2 linked regions of the Cricetulus griseus genome follow. The protein of the gene in region 1 interacts with the protein of each later gene in a pairwise test. Links are inferred from orthologs where the notes say so. Each region holds a gene or a part of one and is shown on either strand. Other genes may lie near its edges.

Region 1 (10,727 bases):
TTTCTGCAGATCGTTCATCTCGGTGTAGTCCCGAGTCGTTGTTCCTCAGAGGGACGCGACATTCTCAATGAGCAGCACCTTGCCCCGCAGGGAGCCCAGGCTCACGGGCTCCCCGCCCGTCAGCGGGCGCGCGGAGAAGGCATACACGGTGGACTGCACCGCCGCGGAGAGCCGGGCTGCACACATGATGCAGAAGCTGGTGAGCTCAAAACAGAAGCCACACTGGTGCAGTGGGAGCCCAGCACCCCCCTTTAACTGGTAGATGGTGAGGTCACGTGGTATCCGCTTTTTTCCGGCCCCACAGCCCGCTCTAGGTTCCAGGGTCCCGCCTTATCCGGCCTCTACCCTCCCCCAGCTAGGGCCAGCCCAGAGGGTGCGGCGGGTCCAAGCGCCTAGCGGAGTCTTGGGCGCGTCTGGTCTAGCCCAGGCAATGCAGTACTGGTTTAGAGGCAACCGCCATGGCGACTCTTCACGGTTTAATTAGTCTAGGGTCCCGCCTAGGAAGCTGGCCGCAGTCCGTAACGGCTGAAGCAGCTCACTTATATTGTGTAACTTTCCCCTCCTAGTCATGTTGTATGGAGTTTTCTTTTAGGAGGCTTTTTGTTGTTTTGGTTTTTCAAGACAGGGTTTCCCTGTGTAGCTTTGGAGGCTGTCCTGGCACTCGCTTTGTAGACGCGGCTGGTCTCCCTCTCTGCCTCCCAAGTGCCGGGATTAAAGGTGTGCCCCGCTGTGTTGTTTCTAATAGTACTGAGAACTGGCTGTCAGAGTGAGTTCCTGTGGCTGTTTTAGAAAGGGTTAGGTGGAAGGCGGACGACAGAGGCATCAGCCCTTCTCAGGACAAGAGCACTCCAACATCCATGTCTCTGGTGGTCCTATTTTTCTGCCCCCTCCCCCCGCTTGGTCTTAGTCCAGAAAATCCAGCTCCCCCTTCACCTTACAGGGCCCCCGACTCCTCTTTTTAGATTTGGATGTGTACAGGATAGTCATTTCATGTTCATGGGAGGAGCCACGTTAGTCTAGATGAGCTTGAGAGTGGAAGGAGCTAGAACCATGCAAGCTGAGTCTTCCATCTCCTGTCCCTAGCCCAGTTGAAAGCAAAACACACACCAGGATACAGGAAGTTTAGAAAACTGCCTTTATTCTATTAGTTGGAAAAATTAACTGGTACAGAAAAAAAGTTTAGTCAGCTGGAGAGAAGAGAAAACCTCCCTTGCCACCCTTAAGAACTGGTGGCTCCCCTGGGAGGCAACTTGGATACAGTGTGGATAAAGGAGCACTGTGACTTAGAGCCAGACCCTGCAGTCCAGGTGAGAAAGGCTATGCCACCTCAAAGGTGTAACTGCCTCAGGCGTGAAACCAAATTTCTATTTACTTAGTTCAGTCTGGAAAGGGGTACTGGGGTGATATATAGGGCTGAATAGGGGAGATATGGCCATATTTTATCAGAGAAAGTGACAAAATGGGAATTTTAAAAATGAATTTTCCATCTGACTTTATTTCCAAATACACTTTCTTAAAAAAAAAAAAAAAGAAAGAAAGAAAAGAAAAAACAAAAAACAATACACGTTCTGTGGGAATGACAAATATCAGTATTAGGAAATCCAATTATACAAAAAATACTACATCTAGTCTGGGGTAGATATATTTATTTTTGGTAACATACATTAAGTGGCACTAATTACACAGTAACTATAAGGTAACTAACATGAGACCACAGAACTGCAAATCTGCCACAGCTGCGTGGACTTCGGCCTTTCTGGCTGAGCAAGTTCTCAAAACCCTGGATGCCTTCCCCAGAGCTCTGCCAATGTAATCTGTTAAGGAGTAAAGCTCTGCCTTAGTGACTCACCAGAGTTCCCTGCAGCTGACAGATGAGAGGCAGGACATGTTAGTTATAAAGTAGTTACAGCCTAATTCACAAAAGTTACCAACTGTTTCTCTTTCTAGAAAGAAGCAAGAAGTTAAGAAATTCTTTGACTTAGCGCCTGGTGTCAGGTGGAGTGCAGAGAGAGCTGTTAGAGCAGTGTCAGAAAGACCCTGGCTGGTCAGACAGGTTGGACATCATTAATAATCATGGTTGGCTTCTAAATACTGGTAGCAAGATGACTTCTGATTTGTAATCTTAGGTAAATTATAGATAAATGAAAAGGCCAGTAATCATACACTAAGATTAATAAACAGCACTTCAAAATTAACCGCATGAGGGCTGTGCTTGCACAAGGCTTCACAAAATGAGGCACCCAGATTTTTTCTTCCCACGTCTGGCTTGCAGAGCAGCTCTCGTGGCCATTTCAAAAACCTCTCTCACTCCATCTTTGGTCTTTGCTGAACACTCCATGTACCCAAAAGCGCCAATCCTGTTTGCCATATCTCTGCCTTCTTCAGGTTTTACCGGCTCCTAGTAGAGAGAGAAGAGAGCTTCAGCTCAGTCTTACTTAGGAAGATACAAAGCATTTATTGACTTTCTTTCTTTTCTTTCTTTCCTTCCTTCCTTTCTTTCTTTGAGACAGGGTTTCTCTGTGGCTTTGGAGGCTGTCCTGGAACTAGCTGGTAGTTGTAGACCAGGCTGGTCTTGAACTCACAAAGATCCTCTGCCTCCCGAGTGCTGGTATTAAAGGTGTGTGCCACCACCACCCGGCTTAAGACTGTTTTTCTGTTTTGTTTGAGACAGGGCCTATGTTTATGTTGTTGAGGATGACCTGATGATTCTCCTGCCTCAAACTCCTAAACAGCTGGAACTATAGGCACATGGCACCACTCTTGGCTGAAAAGACTTCAATCAACCCTGCTTTAAGCTGTTATATTTATTGTGGTTTTTTGAGACACAGTTTCTTTGTGTAGCCTGCTATCCTGGAACTAGCTCTGTACACCAGGCTGGCCTCAAACTCACAGAGATACCAAGTGTGGGGATTAAAGGTGTGTACCACCACTGCCCAGCTCTAAGCTCTTTCATAAAATTCTCAAAACGTATATGCATACCCTGAAACTAATGTCTTAAACCTGCTCTTTTATTGTAGGCAGAGAGAGGTCAGAAAAACTGGGAGACTGAGTAAGGAATTCAGGGCAATACATAACCTTTTTTGCTATACACTGGTGCTAAGCAAGACACTGAACTGTACTCCCTGCCCAAAAATAGTTTATTGAGTACAGTGCAAGGGCACAAGTTAGATAATAACAAGAGCATTTATTGCCTCTATATAGCTTTAGAGACTGAATACCTGCTAATGGCTAGAGCCTGGCCTTAACACTGAGGTCAAGAGTGGAAACCTGGGTTTCTTTGGGTTAAATATGTTAACACTCCTTCGCTAGAGAAGTTCTGACATTAGAGCACCTGGTTCCTGAAAGGTCAAGATTTATTTATTAAAATGGAATTTGGACCTTCTGCATGGACTAATAACTACCTTTAGGGTATCCCGTTTCTTTGGCCACTGGAGAGGGAAAGGAGCTGCCTGTATCTGAAGCAGTAACTTCTGCTGAGATGGTTTCTTCCTAGGGTGCCAGTCCTTAGGAACACATCTAACTCTTAAGAGACATTCCATCTTAGTGATTAAGGAGCCTCTGGAAATCCTTTTGGTCAGGCCAATGAAGGTTGGGTCTGCAAAGGACTTCTGGTATTCTGTAATAGCATGGTTTGTGAGGGTTTCCTCAGGGTGACAAAATTTAAGACTACAATAGGGAAAGCTAGGTGTAGTGGGGCACACCTTAAGATCCTTGCACTCAGGAAACAGAGAGGTAAGCAGATGTCTGAATTCCAGACCAGCCAAGGCTACACAGTGAGACTTGATTTAAAAAAAGGAAAACCAAACTCCAGTTCCTCCCACCCCCACACCATACCTGCTTCATTTTGGCTAACTCCCGTCTTGTGTGCTCATCATTCCGAAGATCCTTCTTGTTCCCAACCAGGATGATGGGCACATTGGGACAGAAATGCTTGACTTCTGGAGTCCATTTTTCTGGGATGTTTTCTGAAAGAAAAAAATGTACAGTATTTGAGAATAAATTCTAATTCCATTTTTGAAGAACTCTAAGAACCCTAGTTAAATTTTAAGGGCATTTCCCTTTCCACTGTTGTTTCAAAAGCACATCAGGGGCTGGCAAGATCACTTAGCAGGTAAAGGTGCTTGTCACCAACGGGACTCCAGTTAGTGGTACAAGAGAACTGTTTCCTCCTTACTGTCTTCTGACCTTCAAGTATACACACACCATTAAAAGAACATTTGGGGCACTATATAATGAAAATTAAAAATCCATTAATCTCAAAAATCATAGAAAAAGGCAAAATAAGCTGGGCGGTAGCAGTGCATATCTTTAATACCAGCACTAAGGAGTCAGAGGTGAGAGGATCTCTGAGTTTAAGGCCAACCTGGTCTACAGAGCAAGTTCTAAAAGCCAGAGCTACAGAGAAACCCTGTCTCAAAAACCAACAAAGAGTGAAAAGGTGTTGCTGAGCTTCTTGGGGGGTGGGAATCCAAATAAGAGCTCTGGATTCTGCCCCACAGTAAAAGGCTCACTACAGGCCATGCCTGTCACTGCTGGTAGAAAGGTCATAGCTGCCAAGGTCATTTTCTCTTTCTACCTTGCTCTGGGTTCTTATGGTGGTTTGAATAGGAATGGCCCACACACACTCATGAGTTTGAATGTTTGGCCCACAGGAATGGCACAAAAAGGAGGTGTGGCCTTGAAGTAGTTTGTCACTGTGGAGGTGAGCTTTGAGTTTTTGTTGTTTTGTTTTTTAAGACAGGGTTTCTCTGTATACCAGCCCTAGCTGTCCTGGAACTAGCTCTGTAGACCAGGCTGGCTTCAAACTCACAGAGATCCACCTGCCTCTGCATCCCAAGTGCTGGGATTAAAGGCGTGAGCCACCAACTCCTGGCATGATTACTTTTCTGAAATAATGTCAGAATATTTGATTTGCAACCACTGACTAACGAAAAGGACTCCCAAAACACATCCTTCACATCTAAATAGGCAGTGACAAGCAACCAGCCTGCAAAGCTACTCACCTAAACTATCAGGGCTGTCAATGGAGAAACACATCAGTATAACATCAGTGTCTGGATAGGAGAGAGGCCTCAAGCGATCATAATCTTCCTGTCCAGCTGTGTCCCACAAAGCCAACTCTACCTACAATAGGAAAAACAACAACATAAGTGCAACGTTAATATTACTACCCATTTAAAAAAAAAAAAAAAAAGACACTCACTATATACAAACAGCAAACTGTCCAAAATAGTAAAAAGTGCCATTCATCTTTTTGAGAATCAAATACAGGTTGTTTAAACAGTATAATCAAAATAGCACCCCCACACACACACCACCCCGAGACAGGGTTTCTCTGTGGCTTTGGAAGCAGTCCTGGAACTAGTTCTTGTAGACCAGACTGGTAACGAACTCACAGAGATCTGCCTGCCACTGCCTTAGTGTTGGGATTAAAGGCCTGCGCTGCCACCACCGGGGCCAAAGTAGCAAATTTATAAACAGAACACTATACATCCAAATGTCCAGTTAATAAACCACTGTAGTTTATAAAACCCTACACAAGGAACTAAGGGCAACTCCAGCTGAGAGCTGGAGAAACAGTCTTTCCCAGAAAAAGAGTACACCAACTAGTTATCAATTCCAAATGGTTAGCTCTGAAAACATAACATAAAGTTAATGTTATACAGACTGAGTTTGTTGTACTTATATATTTAGAGACAACAACACACACACACACTGAGGCCATGAATTTTAAGAGCAAGAAAGGGTATATGTTAGAGGAGTGGGCCTCAACCTGGGAATCAAATGATACTTTCACAGGGGTCATATACCAAATATATAAGATACTTACATTATGATTGATAACAGTAGGCTGAGCAGTGGCAGCTCATGCCTTTAATCCCAGCACCCGGGAGGCAGAGGCAGGCATCTGTGAGTTCGAGACCAGCGTGGTCTACAGAGTGGGTTCTAGGACAGCCTCCTAAGATACAGAGAAACCCTGTCTCTAGGCTAAGTTAATATGCCAAAGAGGACATACTGTTGGCCCCCAAAACTATCCTTTTAGTGCATAGTTACAGAAACACAACACCTCACAGTTACTTTATACAGATGGAATGTCATAATAAAATCAGTAATACATTCACTAGGCCTTTGAGAAATGACCTTCAAAAATGCTGACCTGGCCAAATCAGTTGAGTATATATGCTAAGATCTCAACAAATTTCCACCTAGTTTATCTCAAATGTAGTTGAGAATGACCTTAAATTTCTGATTTTCCAAGCTCTACCAGCCAAGTACTATGATCAGAAACAAGCCGCCACACAGGTGGTACTGGAGGTTGAACGCATTTGCTCTACCAGCTGAGCTACATCCCTAATTCCATTTACTCATCTATTTTAGTTACCTATTTTTTTTAAAGATTTTATTTATTTATTATTATGAATAAAAACTTCATGCCTCCATGTATGTCTGCATGCCAGAGCAGGGCACCAGATCTCATTATGAGATGGTTGTGAGCCACCATGTGGTTGCTGGGAATTGAACTCAGGACCTCTGGAAGAGCAGTCAGTGCTCTTAACATTTGAGCCATTTCTCCAGCCCCCTTTTAGTTAACGTATTTTTGAATTTATTTATTTAATGGGCACCCTCTTACTCTCTAGCTGAAGCTGATCTGAAACTTAAAATTATTTATTTTTATATTATGTGTATGAATGTTTTAACTGTATGTATGCACAAATTACATAAAATGTGCGCCTGCTGCCCATGTGGGTGTTAGGAACTGAACTCAGGTCCTCTGATTTCCTCCCTCCCTGAATTATCATGCCCAGCCTGTATTCTCTATATTATTTGTATTTCTGGATCTACAATGATAAATCCTCAATTTAGAGCAGCTAATCTAACATACTATACTAGCTGGGCATCACTGCACATACCTGTAATTAATGACCTCATGTAGTTGGCTGAGGAAGAAAAATCCTGAATATTTGAGACCCCATTTCAAAAATAAAAACAAGATGGAGTCTAGAAAATCAAGGGTTTAAGGCCAGCCTTGGTTCAACAGTGATACAGAAACCAGCCTGAGCTATAGGAAACTGTCTCAAAAACTAACTAATAAATCAACCAACCAGAATCCCAAAAGAAAGGTGGCAGGGGAAATCAACTTCTGTTTCTAACATTTCTGCTGCACTGTGTACAAAACAGCCTAGCCTAACATTCAAAGAAATCAGTTACTATGGAACTTGAACTCACCTGTTTCCCATCCACTTCGATATCTGCCACATAGTTTTCAAACACTGTGGGCACATAAACCTCTGGGAATTGGTCCTTGCTGAAGACTATGAGCAAGCATGTCTTACCACAAGCTCCATCACCAACAATTACCAGTTTCTTCCTGATGGCAGCCATCCCTTAAACATAAACAAAAGGTATTATCTAGAATGTATAAGAATCCATAAGCAGCCCCAGACTATGACACATTTTACTGGCTATGGGGGTAGGAAGGAAGCATTTACTAGCACTCCCAAATTAAAAATTCTGGAACAATGTTCTATTTGGCATCTAAAAGCTACATACCAAAAACTATACTTAACATTAAAGATTAAGAAACATCCCACAGGCGGTATGGCGCATGCCTTTAATCCCAGCACTTGGGAGGCAGAGGCAGGCGGATCTCTGTGAGTTGGAGGTCAGCCTGGTCTCCAGAGTGACAGAGAAAACCTGGCTTGAAAAACCAAAACCAAAACCAAAACCAAAAAAGAGCCATCCCATAAGATGAGGAACAAAACAGACATTTCTTCTTGTCACTTCTATACAAAACCATTAGGTAAGAATTTTTAAGGAATCTACTGAAGAAAATACCAGAGCCTGGTATGGTAGCTTGTGCCTATAATTTTGAGGGGCTGAGGCAGTAAGGGGTACTATAAATGGGGACTGGACAATAGTATGATGACTCTATCTCAAAAACAAAACAAAATACATACAAATTATCAGAATGAATAACGCAATAGACCCTGTTTCAAAACAAAAGCAAGACAAAAATAATAAACAAAACAATCCATCCATCAAGGGGCTGGCTCAGTAGAGTGCTTGCTAATCAAGCATGAGGGCGAGTTCAGATTACCAGCATAGAAAACCTGCCAAGAGACAGAATTGCATTTTGTTCTTCTTGTTGTTTTTGTTTTTGAAGACAGGGTTTCTCTGTGGCTTTGGAAGCTGTCCTGAAACTAGCTCTTGTAGACCAGGCTGGTCTTGAACTCACAGAAATGGGCCTGCCTCTACCTCCCAAGAGCTGGGATCAAAGGTGTGCACCACCTCCACCCGGCCAGCAACTGTATTTTTATACCCTAACAATGAATAACCTGGGAAATGAATATTTTACAGATTGGCATGATGGCTCATGCCTGTCATCCTAGCACTTGGAAGGCACAGGCAGGAGGCTTACTTCCAGCATGAGACCATAGGGTATGCCTAGTTCCAGGCCCGTGTAAGCTATAGTATATGTTATTTTGAAAAATAAAATCAAAACTAAATTTTGCAACACACACTGGGACATGATTTTAAGCCTGGACTACCCTGTACCTTTAAGGACTGGAGATGTAGCTAAGTGGTAGAACAGTTGACTAACATTTTCCAAACCCTGGGTTTAATCCCTAGACCTCAAAACCATACAAAACAACTTGGGCATTGTGAGACTGTATGAAAACACCAAGAACACCCAGGTGTGGTAGTACATGCCTGTAATCCTAGCACTTGGAAAGTAGAGGCAGGAGGAACAGGTGCTCAGTCAGAGTCATAGCAAGTTTGAATACAGCCTGGGTCCTATGATTCCCTGTTTGTTTGTTTGTTTGTTTATTGAAATTGAGACAGGATCTGTGAAATAGTCCTGGCTGTTCTGAAATGGTCCTGCCTGTCTCCCAAGGAGACCCCGTCTCTAAGAATGTATCAGCAAGCATCTGGGGGAATGGTGAGATTGCTCAGCTGGTTAAGGTACGTAATTACCATCAAGCCTGACCTCAGTTCAATTCCTGGGACCCACGGGGTAAAAGGAGGACCAACTAGTACAACTTGTCCTCTGACTTCCACATATACTATGGCATCCATATACTCACACATAAATTAATGTTTTTCTTTTTTCTTTTTTCTTTTTTTTTTTTAAGGTGAAGCTGAGGCAGGTGGATTTCATTGAGTTCAAGGCCATCCTGGTATACAGAGTGAGTTCCAGGACAGCCAAGGCTACAGAGGAGAAACACAGTCAAAAAAACAAAACACACAAACAAAAAAGTGAGTGTGGTGGCATATACCTTTAATCTCAGCACTTGTAGAAGGACTACTGCAAACATGAGCCTGGTCTACATTGATCAAAGTTTAGTTAGGACTATACTCAATTATACTTGGAATTTCATGCCTCTTAAAATGAGATTTGAGCAGCATGATGACTTAAAGAATAAAGGTGTTTACTGGGCTGAAGAGAGGGCACAGAGGTTAAGAGCACTGGCTGCTCTTGCAAAGGACCGGGTTTAATTCCAAGCACCCACACCAGTTCCAGGGGATCTGGTGCCATCTTCTGGAAACGGGCACTTGCTGCCAGGCATGATGACCTGAGGTCAATGTGCTCACGCTCTCCTCTCCCTGTCCTTCCTTCCCCCACCCCCCCCCACACAAAATTTTTAAAAACGTAACACAATCATTTCTCTATCTCCTTTTTTTTTTCCTTTGTAAATTTTTAAAAACTACATTGACTAATACATTTATTTGTTGGAGAGAAGGCACACATGTGAGAACATATGGTGGGTGGTAAGAGAGCAACTTCCAGGAACTTTCTCTGCTACCTTGTGGGTCCCAGGGATCAAACTCGGGTTTTCTGACTTGGCAGTAACTGCCTTTACTTGCAGAGCCATTTTGCCAGCCAAGTCTCCCACCTTTTCAAACCATACACCTTTATCTACTTACTAACTAGCCTTGAACATTTCTTCTTTCTTTCGTTTTTTTTTTTTTTTTTTAAAAAAACAACAGGATTTCCCTGTGAAATGTTTCTGGTTGTCCTGGAACTCACTCTATAGACCAGGCTGGGCTCTAACTCACTGAGATCCTCCTGCCTCTGCCGCCCGAGTGCTGAGATTAAAGGTGTGCGCCACCACTGGTGGAGCCTTGAACATTTCTAAAGCCTCAGGGGAAAGAAATGTCTTTACTGAAAACCTCTTTCCTTTTCCCAGAAAGAAGCACCGTACTTGTCCATTCGATTTTGTTCCAAAGTCCATTTCTGGCCCTAAACTACCCTTTCCCCAATTACGTGTTGCCTCCCAGTACAGACTTGGGCCTCTCTTGGAGCTTATAACATAAAACCATGCCTGAGATGGGTCTTATTTTTATTATTACCATTGCTATTATTGTTATTATTATTGTTTTCCAAGTCAGGGTTTCTCTGCATAACAGCCCTGGCTGTCCTGGAACTTGATCTCACAGAGATCCACCTGCCTCTGCCTTCTGACTGCTAGGACCAAAGGTGTGTGCCATCACACCCTGCTAAAGTAAGGCTTCTTTAAGGAAGGAGTATGTTCTAAAATAGACTGCAGTGATGAACACCTCATAAATATACCAAAACTCACCAAACTGTCCACTTCAAATGGTGTGCTGTATAATGTACCAATTACACCTCAACAAACTATTACTGAAAAAAAAAAAAAAAACAAAAAAAAAAAACCCACGTTTTTTTAAAAGGGGATATGGTAGGTGTACTGGATGGTTGGTTT
Region 2 (10,827 bases), on another chromosome or scaffold:
CTACCTTATATGATTTCTTTTTTTTTTCTCGAGACAGGGTTTCCCTGTGGCTTTGGAGGCTGTCCTGGAACTAGCTCTTGTAGACCAGGCTAGTCTCAAACTCACAGTGATCCACCTGCCTCTGCCTCCCGAGTGCTGGGATTAAAGGCATGCGCCACCACCGCCCGGCTCTTACATGATTTCTGAAGTAAGCTGTCTTCTCTCCACTCCCAACTCCAAGGGCCTGGAATCTCAAGAAGGAAATTTCACATCCATGAATAATACATGCATTAATCTCTATAAGACCAACATGCAGAAAATACTACAATGTTGCTGACTACCATTCAATCCCACAGCCCATGACAACTGTCTATGCTTCCATAACTTTTCCATCCATTTGCATAGTTCTCTATGACTTTGTTTTTTATTATTCTTAATATTATACTGTTGCCCAGTATGCCCCTAGGGTTTATTTCTTTAAGAAAATCATATGACAGTTTAGTATTACTATTGGATTTTTGAGACAGAATCTTACTATACATCCCAAGACAGGCCTTGAATTCACTCGTCTTGTTTCAGCCTCCTGAGTGTTGGGATGACATGCATGCACGACTCTGCCTATCATTGTTTTCACTATGACAGAGTTTTCTACCTTAGTGATTATGCCACAACGCATTAACCACTTCTGTAATGATTTGTGTGCATGCATGGTGCTTGGCATTGAACCCAGGGTCTTGCGAGTGATGGGCAAGCATTCCACAGGCTTAGTAACATGAATACTGAATAGCAAGCATGGTAGACAATAATCCCAGCATTCAGGGGACTAAGGCCAAACCTGGGCCCCATAGTGAATTCCGGGCCAGCCTGAGTTATATAACAATACCCGGCCTCAATGTAAATAAATGAATATAAAATAGAAATAAAAGGAAGAATAAAATTTAAGAAAACATTTGAATTTGTTCAATTGTAATGTTCTTCTAGGTTTTACATTTTTCCCAACATTACAGTTTTTCCTCTGTTCTCTTGTTCTCCTTTTTTGTTTCAAGTCTATCTTAAGTGCAAGTGATTGTGTATGGAATTTCTAAAGCAGTATCATCCCAACTCTGCCCAACATCAAAACACCTGAGGGGCCTTTTGAACAGCTGTATAAACAGGTCATTGCCTGTATTAATTATCCTAGAATGCCTGAGGCTTGGAGCCAGGCCACTGTAGCTTAATCTACTGTTGTAAAGAATTAGAGAGAGACAAAAGTCTTTGGAGTTTAAAAAGAAAATCAAACTTCAGCATACTTTTGTGCTAGCACAAAGGAGCAATGGTAGCAAGCTCATCACAAGTATAAGACCAGTCTTCTCTATGCAGCAAGTTCCAGGCCAGTCAGTTCTGCATGGTGAGACCCTGCCTACAGCTAAGATAGGAGAATTGATATGAGTTCAAAGTCAGCCTGGGCAGCTTAGTGAGTTCCAAGACAATTCAGGCTACATAGTGAGACTCTATCTCAAAACATCACACCAAGAGGAATATATACACATAACTTCTAGGAAGTGTGAAAGTCAAATATTTTAAACAGCCTTAAAGCTTATTCATGTTTTAATCAAGTGTCTGTGCTTCATTAGACCTGATGAACAATTTACAACATGAGACACGATACTAATAAGATTCCTCAAGATGTGGCTGCAGAGAAAACTCAGATATTAAGACCACTGGCTGCTTTTCCAGAAGGCCTGAGTTCAATTCCCAGCACCCCATTTAGCAGCTCACAACCATCTATAACTCCAGTTACAGACGCCATCTTCTGGCCTCAGCTAGCACTTTGAGTTTGTGGTGCACAGACATGTTTTCAGGCAAAAGAACCATACACATAAAATAATAACATGAAATTTAAAAGATTTGTGAAGTTGATACTTAATGAGATTAGGTTTTGGTTGTCAAATTATTGAATACAGGAGTGAGAGTGAATCTCAGTGATAGAGCCCCTGACTACCATGGGGGAGGCCCTGGTTTCCATCCCTAGCACCAAGGGAAAACAAGCATAAATCAATGGAGTGAAGAACACAAGCCACAATGCCCTCTTCATGATGTTTAGAAGTTTGCAGGTGACATCATGCTGTGTGGGCTGGCTCTGTGAGCCCAAGGACCATGTCCTCAGTGAAATGTAGATAGAAACCTAAGGACCAGAGAGAGCAATTATGGGAACTTGTTGAGGAATTCAAGAAACTGGGCTTCTCTGTGGAGTAACGAGGGACAGCTTCATTGTACCTAGTCACTGCGCACAGCCCATTAGCTTTACAGATTTCTATTTCATTACATTTAAAAGTCTAGAGTATCCCTTCTGTCTTTGGTAGCTATGAGGTTTCTGTCCCATCCCATGGAAAAGCCAGCTTACTTTTCATCCCCAGACTGACTTCCCAGTGAATGAGCACCTTGTCCCCAGCAATAAGGAATTTAAAGCCCTGTGGCAGTGTGGAAGGGAGTCTGCTCCCTGAGAGTTTAGCTTTTCTCTCTTTCTCCTAGGTCCCTTAAAGAACAATGGGTGATGCTAATTGGTGTGTGTCTACCTTGGGAGGTTTCAATGTGGGCACTCACCTATTCCTAGTAGCTCAGCCCCTGTCTGGGCTGATGTCACCTGCTGAGACAATGGTACATACTTTGGTTGACTATGGGTAGGGTTACTTCACAGTTCTAGGACAGTCCCTTGGGGGACTAACCTTGGGCCTCTGTTCAGTTGAAGTTGTGTTTTGACACTGCACCTTAGTCTGTCACAGGGAATCTTCACAAAGCCAAACAAACAACTGAAGAAAGGTTCAAAAAGGCTGGAGGCCTACCTCTCTTGCCTTCTTATCTAACCCAGATTATCACTTCCTTTGTGAGCACCCCTTCTACCCTTTCTTACTTGCCCAGCCAACTTAGTGAGAAAGGGGGAGAGAGTTTAAATAAGTTCATCTTTGAAGAAACCTCGTGTTTTCAGCCTTAAACATAAAATCCCATCCGTAGGCCTGATGATGTTTTGAATTTCAGGTTGTTAGACAATCTGAAATTTTGATGGTGGCTCATTTGTGCAGGGTTGTTGTTGCAACTGAATGGACTGGACCATCACAAATGTTCTTATCTTTAGTAAACCTTGGTTGAACCTAAGAAAGAAGGGGGGCTGGGTAAAAGGAAGGAGAAGGGAGAGAAGAGAAAGAGGGAGAGAGAAGGAAGGGAGGGAGGGAGGGAGGGAGGGAGGGAGGAGGGAGGGAGGGAGGGAGGGAGGAAGGGAAGGAGGAAGGAAGGAAGGAAGGAAGGAAGGAAGGAAGGAAGGAAGGAAGGAAGAGTGGGCACTCCTAAGAAAACATGCGTCGGTTGGGAAGATGGGGACTGGCTCAGTGAGTAAGTGTGCAGCCTGAGGATAAAGTGCCAGTTGTCAGCACCCACATGAATTCTGGGAAGGCGTAGCAGCCGGCCTATAATTCCAACACTGTGAAGTTGAAAACAGGGGATCCCTGGAGCAAGTTAGCTAAGTCAACTAGCCATATTGTCAATTTCTGCACTTGGTTGAGAGACTGCCACAATGAGTAAGATGAACACTGTCTGGGAAGATTCCTACCATCACCTTAAGAATCCACACGTATATGCACACGTGCCCGTACGCATGCAAACACACATAAACATATGTGCATCATATACACATACCCCCAAAGGAAACCTAAGTGGCAGGAACTTGTGTGATAATATTTACTTTGGTATAAATGAGTATCTTTTTAGGAAAGTCTCAGAAGCATTTCATGGCCCTCATGACCAGGACCTCGTGAGTCACTTAACCTTGTACACCTGTGGATGTCGACAAGCTCAGTGTTTCTGTGCGAACCTGCCTGACAGTCATCATGGTCTTCCATCTATCTTACAGGACTGCCAACCAGACTCCCAGAAATCATGCTGGTGGGATCTCAATCCTTCTCGCCTGGAGGGCCCAATGGCATCATCCGGAGCCAGTCCTTCGCGGGCTTTAGCGGCCTGCAGGAAAGGCGATCCAGGCAAGTGCTGGGTGCTCCTCCTGGGATGCAGCAGAAAAGAGGCAGGAGCTGATGATGGTGTGTGTGCCACACCAACGTGCATGTGTGTGGTAGTTAATGTCCTCTTCACGGAAAACATAACTCACCCAGAGTTAAGTGCAGTCATTATATCACTCAGAATTTCTTGTGCAAAGATGTGTGTATGTAAATGGCTAGCTCATCCTAGCTATTATGAGCAGTCATGTCCTCACTTTTGGGGACATGACTCATCAGAGGTATGGTTGGGGGGATGGTTTTTAATGGAGATATGAGGGAAAGTAAAGCTAGGGGCATCTGGAAGAGTCCAGAGCTTGGAGAGAAAGTAATACACTGAGCATGGCCAGCAGACTAGACTAGGCCATGGGGTGGGTGTGTGGTGGGGGAGTGGGAGAGGGGGCCAAGAAAGGTGGCAAAGAGGGCCAAGAAAATACATGGCTGAAATGGCAGGGTTGTATAGGAATCAGACACTAGGGGAAGGAAAGCCCATGAGCTGGAAAAGGTTAGTACTGGAAGCGGGTGAGAAGAACCAGGGTGCCAGCATGGACTCTGTAACAGGTACTTGCCACACTGAAAGAGCCTGGAGGCAAGTGTGCACTTTGGTATGCTAATAGGTACCACAGTTAGCCATGGACCTAAGAGTGTGGACTCCCTCCTGCCTCATTTCCAACCCCTTTAAAGCACACTTACCATTACCTTCCTGTTTTGGAGACTGTATTTGGTATGAAAGTAGACAGTGAATGAAGACCATGCCTCAGCGTGACCCTGGGGAGTTGGGAAATTAGGCCCTACCTTCCCTGGAATCACCTCCTCTCATAAACCCAAGGAAGTACAGAGAGTGAATGGGTAACATGCAAGGAAACTCATCTTTGGTTTGTCTGATGGCTGATGCTCTCCCTTTCCAAAGGAGCTCCAGGTTTAAAGACAGACTCTGTCTAAAAAAAATAAGAAGAAGAATGATTAAAAAACAATACCCAAAAGTCGGTGTCTGACTTCCATACACGTGTGCACACACATGCACTAGCCCCTTCACATACACACACACAGATCCCATATGCAAAAAAACAGAATTCAAAAAATAAAGTAAAATAATATAAATAATACTCCAAGGAGAGTTCTGAGTACAAGCTACATGTGGTTTTGTTTGTATAAGTTTGTATCTGATATTATGCAAAGAACTTTCTTTCTTTTAGTTTGATATAACTTCTACCTGTTCATTGTTTCCACCTGGAACATTTATTCCTGGCTCGCTTTGAGCTAGACTGCAAGGGCACCCTCAAAAGACATACAACTCAAAGCTAGGCTATGCCACAGGGTAGCCTCTGCCCAGCGAAACTTTCAACAAACATCAAGAAAGGAAATGTGGTCAGTTGGGATCTGTAGCTGTCCAGGGTCATGTTACCTTTATCCAGGGCACAGGATGAAGGCAAGAAGATTTAAAAGGCGTTTCCCTGGTGGGTCTTTCTGATGTCTGAGACTCACAGTCTCCTTTCTCTTTCTTTAGGTGTAACTCCTTCATTGAAAATGCCTCTGCTCTCAAGAAGCCTCAGGCCAAACTGAAGAAAATGCACAATTTAGGACACAAAAATAACAACACTCCCAAAGAGCCTCAGCCAAAGAGAGTGGAGGAGGTCTATAGAGCCTTGAAAAATGGACTTGAGTAAGAACAATAGACTTGACAAAGCACTTTGGGCATTTTTCCTTCCTAAAATAACCCTTTTCCTTCCTAAAAGCTAATAGCCCGGCCCTATTTTATTTTATTTATTTTTTTATTTTTTTATTTATTTTTGGTTTTTTGAGACAGGGTTTCTCTGTGTAGCTTTGGAGCCTATCCTGGCGCTCGCTCTGGAGACCAGGCTGGCCTCAGACTCACAGAGATCCGCCTGCCTCTGCCTCCCGAGTGCTGGGATTAAAGGTGTGCGCCACCAATGCCCGGCATATATTTTGTTTGGTTTTGAGGCAGAGTCTCATGTGGCTCAGGCTGGCCTTGAACTCCCTATGTAGACAACGATGACTATGCAGTTCTGACCCCGTCTCTACCTGTCAAGTGCTGGGACTGCAGAAGAAAAAAGCATACTTCGCTGGGTGTTTCCTTCCAGTTCTATAATTGAGGAAGCTTTTAGTAAGTCTCCTAGATGGGAGACAGTTGGAATTGCATGTATACATGACACTGAAGCAGGATTGACACGGCGATGTGTTTGTAGTGTCCATGTGTTTATTGTTAAGTGAAATCCAATCCCTGCAGGGTTGGACTTTATTTAGACGGTGGTGGACAGCCATAGCTGCACTAGAGATTGCTGAGGAAGGGTTCTGAGCCCAGTGTGGTGGATCCCACCTGTAATTCTACCCAGCACTCAGGAGGCCAAGGCAGGAGGATCATCAAAGGGTCAAAGTCAGCCTGGATGGCGTAATATACAACCTGCCTCAAACATATACACATGTAAACACGCTATAAAGGGTTCTGAAACCATTTGTCCAGAAGAAACCTTGCCTAGCATTTGGTAAGGCACCTGCAGTCACTACAAGGTGACAAAACTGTGTGACCAAACTCCTGCCTGACTCTTCCCTCCCAGTTGACTTTTCATTTCTGGGTTTTCATCTTCACAGGGACATCCCCTTCCCTGCCCCATCTCTCGCCCTCTCTTCAAACTAGACAAGATCAGATGTAACTACTAGTGTTTCCAAAATGCTCCCCAGCCACGGAGCAAAGTTTTGATTCTTTTTCCAAGAGGAGAGAGAGGCAGGGTCTCACTCTGTAACCCAGGCTCGCCTGGGAGTTACTGTAAAGCCCAGGCTGGCCTAGAATACTTATTAGTCCTGTTTCAGTCTCCCATGTACTGAGATTATGGTGTGACTGACTGAGATTCCTATTCTTAACTCAAAAGGCAAAGGTCAGCAACTGCCAAGGTCCCTCCGGAAGTGAGAGCTCACCATGATGTCTTATGTTTGCAGTGAGTACCTGGAATTTCACCAGACGGAGCTGGACAAGTTGACCGCTCAGTTAAAAGATATGAAAAGAAACTCTCGCCTGGTAAGTCCCTCTGACCACGAGGATGCTAACATAAGGTGGGGGGGTAGGTGTTTCCACTCCTAGCTTACCAGAGGTGGGGAGGGGAGGGGAAGAGAGAAATGCTTAACAAAGCTATGTTTTGGAAGGAAGAAGATCTGAGCATGGTGGTTCACAACTGTAATCCCTGCTGGAGGAAGGCTGAGACAGGAAAATGGCCAGCCTGGGCTATACTATAGTGAGACCTTGTCTCACACACTAAATAAATAAATAAATAAATAAATAAATAATAGGAAAAAAGATTATTTTCTTTTGAAAGCTTTATTCTTATTTCTTCTGAGCATGTGCTATGTGTTTATATAGATATACTTCATAGTGAAATAAAGATGATAAGGATGGTTTTTGGAAACTCCCCTAAGTAGGGCTGGAGAGATGGCTCAGTGGTTAAGATCACTGGATGCTCTTCCAGAGGTCCTGAGTTCAATTCCCAGCACCCACATGGCAGCTCGTGATCTGGTACCCTCTTCTGGTATACAGACATACATGCAGACATAGCACTCATATATATGAAATACATAAATAAATCCTTGAAAGAAAAGAAAACTCTCTGTAATATAACAAAATATGTTGCTGTTTTCCTAGTATCACCTTAGTTCATTCAGAATTCAGAAACAAGAACTTTTTTTTTGCTCTACTTCCCACTTGTAAATATGGGTCAATGTCCTAGTTTGCTTCCTATTACTATGGTAAACACCGTAGCCAAATGCAACTTGCAGAAGAATTTATTTTAGTTTATAGACTATGCTCCATCATAGAGAGAGGTCAGGCAGAAACCTGGAGGCAAGAGAAGACCATGGAGGAACACTGCTTTACTGTCTCTTCCTCCTGTCTTGCTCAACCCGCTTTCTTATAGTACTCAGGACCAAGTGTTCAAGAGTGGTACCGCCCACAATGGGCAGGACTCTCCCACACCACAGACTTGCCTACATGCCAACCTGAAAGCATTTTTCTCAATTGACGGTCCACTTCTCAGATGACCCTGGCTTGTGTCAAAAACTAACCAGCTCAGCCAGTGGCAGCAGTTAGGGAAGTAGGGAAGAAGGTCACTAAGGCCAGAGTGAAAGCATCTTTGAGTCCCATGCTGGATGGAGAATGTGCTCTATTCTGATGAATTTGTGAGGACTGACTTTGTTCACACCCAAGTGTTATTTATCACACCTTAGCCTTTCAGGGCAGCACAAAACCCCAGGCAAGTCTGCATAGGTAGGCCTTGCAGTTGTGTTTATCTTCCACTTCTGACAGACAGACTTCTCTGGGTTTTCTTTATGAACCCTTAAAGCTGCCGAGAGGCCGGAAAGCATAGGGTGCAGTCATAGAATCACAGAGGTGAGGTGATGCTGGCTCTTGAGAGTATTCCAAATAACCCAGAGTTCTACTCAGTAAAAGCAGATACCAAAAAATCCAGTAAATTTTGTGGGGCTGTGATTCCTTCTCAAGCAATGTAGAAATGTGAGCCGCGCCGCTTATTACGGCATTTCTGAGGATGATGTGTTATAACCAGGGGCTCTTCTTTTTATTTCAGGGTGTGCTATATGACCTAGACAAGGTAGGCTATCGTTCTGTGTTGGGGTGTTGCTGGAAGTGAAATTCTGCACTTTGAGCAGATGTCAGTAAGAGACCCTGGGGTAGACAGTACAAGTCCAGATAAAGGATGATTTTCTCATCTTGGGAAGAAAAATCGTTTTCGTTGTTGTTGTTAAAGGATGAATGAGCATTAGGCACTCCAGAATCAAAGGGCATTTGGCTTGAGGGGAAACAGGGCCTCCTGGTTGTGTGTTTGCTCTGGTTTCTGTGAGTCTGGAACTTGGATGTAGAGGTCCTTTCCATGTGGCCTTTAAGTAGATGTCAAATATGAGACATCTCTGATCAGAAAATGCCACAATTGTTTATGTGCCACTAAAATATATATTTTCACTACATATTCCATATATAATTTAATGTTTAAAAAAATAAAAATAAATTATTAAATAGAAAATCATTACACTTAAATCTAGTTCTTTCTTTTCACATAATATGTATACATATACATATATATTCTTACTGACAAAATTCTTTCAGGCCTTTTAGAAGTGAGATTTTTATGTCTTCCTTTTTAGTTGTATACAATGTGACTCTCCATGCCATTCTATATACATAGCTTTATTTAAATGTTAAATTATGATATAGTCTCTGTGACGATATTTTAAAGAGTAATTAAATTAAATGTATGTTACAACAATATTTATGACTCATAAAGCTGTCATGAGCAGTTGTATCTGTAAACCCAAACCCATGGCTAACTGCCACAATGGACAAATAACAATTATAAAATGTACCCCAGTTTCAGGCATAATTCAATGGGCAAAAAGCTCAGTTTAAAACATACAAAAAATGAGACCGCTCCACCAGAAATCGAATGGATTGGCCACCTTAGTGTTAAACACAGGATGACCATAATTAGTTCAAGCTTATCTCTCACGATAGTCAGTGTTTTGAAAAAAATTGTTTTTCAAAATTAACATTAGAACAACCCTAAAATAGTGGTCAAGGTGGGAGGAAAGAGGAAGTAATAAGTACCGTATTTCCAGTGCTTGTGCAGAGGACACGCTATTGAAATTACTCTCACAAGCCTAATTGATTGCGCTGTGAATGGCTGCCCTTTTTTCAAGCTTCTCCTTTTAATTCCAGCAAATTAAAACAATTGAGAGGTACATGCGACGCCTGGAGTTTCACATTAGTAAGGTAAGCCATGCTGCTGTTGTCTTTGCTTCTGTGTTTCTGCTCTCAGTTACTGCCCAGTGTATGCCCACCCTGAGTCTAGCATGAGCCCAGTGAGCCTTCAACTCACAGATATCTAAACTGAACATAGAAATGAAAGCCTTGGGGCTGGAATTAAGAGCACTGGCTGTTCTTGCAGAGGACCCAGGTTCAGTTTCCAACCACATGATGGCTCACAACCAATTGTAACTCCAGACACAGGGGATCCAACACCTTCCTCTGACTTCCATGTGTACACAGGCATGAATGTGATACAGACACACATTCAAGCAAAACACCCACTCACATAAAATATAAGTAAATAAAGTCCGAAAGAAAGAGAGGAATTAAGCAAGGAAGGGTGGGGGGGAGGGAGATGGGGCGAAATAAGAATGTAAAGTCTGATCATTTATCACTGTTGGGATTGCACTTTGAAAATAAATTTGAACAAATTAATTTCATTTTATTTGCTATTAATGCATGACTTTACAAAATTGTTTTCGGTAAAAAACTCATTTTTAATTTTTAAATACTTATTCCCAGGGCTAGAGAGCTGTTTTAGTGGTTAAGAGCAGACTCTGCTCTTGCAGAGTTCAGTTCCCAGCACCCATATCCCTTGGCTCACAACTACCTATAAATACAGCTCCAGAGGATCTAATGCCCTCTTCTGGCTTCCAAAGGCACCTGCACTCAAGTACACATGCCCACACATAGATACACACAGCATATAGGCACATAATTAAGAATAAAACAAACAAGCAAAAAAGGCTAACTCCAGGTCTACAGAAATGGTTCTGTGGTTAAGAGTACTTGCTATTCAATCCCACAATCACAAGGAATGGGGTTTGGATCCCAGCACCCATGCCACAAAAACTGGGTATCCCTAAAATGTCTGTAACCCAAGTTCCAAGATACGAGGGTGGCTGGGGCTTGCTGGCCTTCAGTTTAGCTGAGAAAACCTGATCTATACATTCAAGGGAGAGCTCTGAATACAAGCACTTATGTAATTTAGAAACAGGA

Evidence for each region. The genes of interacting proteins can lie anywhere in the genome.
Region 2: the proteins of Rhoa (region 1) and Ripor2 interact in binary tests that used the Homo sapiens proteins (3 or more experiments, as listed by UniProt). The link is inferred for Cricetulus griseus from reciprocal best matches to the Homo sapiens genes RHOA and RIPOR2.

The regions. Positions count from the first base shown.
Region 1 is NC_048597.1:216,502,154-216,512,880, reverse strand, and holds the end of Rhoa (transforming protein RhoA), read right to left. Parts: intron 7,386-10,727; 5' UTR 7,384-7,385; coding exon 7,228-7,383; intron 5,125-7,227; coding exon 5,004-5,124; intron 3,966-5,003; coding exon 3,835-3,965; intron 2,399-3,834; coding exon 2,225-2,398; 3' UTR 1,113-2,224; downstream 1-1,112. UniProt on the Homo sapiens protein: Small GTPase which cycles between an active GTP-bound and an inactive GDP-bound state.
Region 2 is NC_048596.1:245,934,023-245,944,849, forward strand, and holds the start of Ripor2 (rho family-interacting cell polarization regulator 2), read left to right. Parts: upstream 1-3,870; 5' UTR 3,871-3,888; coding exon 3,889-3,989; intron 3,990-5,508; coding exon 5,509-5,664; intron 5,665-6,956; coding exon 6,957-7,035; intron 7,036-8,593; coding exon 8,594-8,617; intron 8,618-9,738; coding exon 9,739-9,792; intron 9,793-10,827. UniProt on the Homo sapiens protein: Acts as an inhibitor of the small GTPase RHOA and plays several roles in the regulation of myoblast and hair cell differentiation, lymphocyte T proliferation and neutrophil polarization.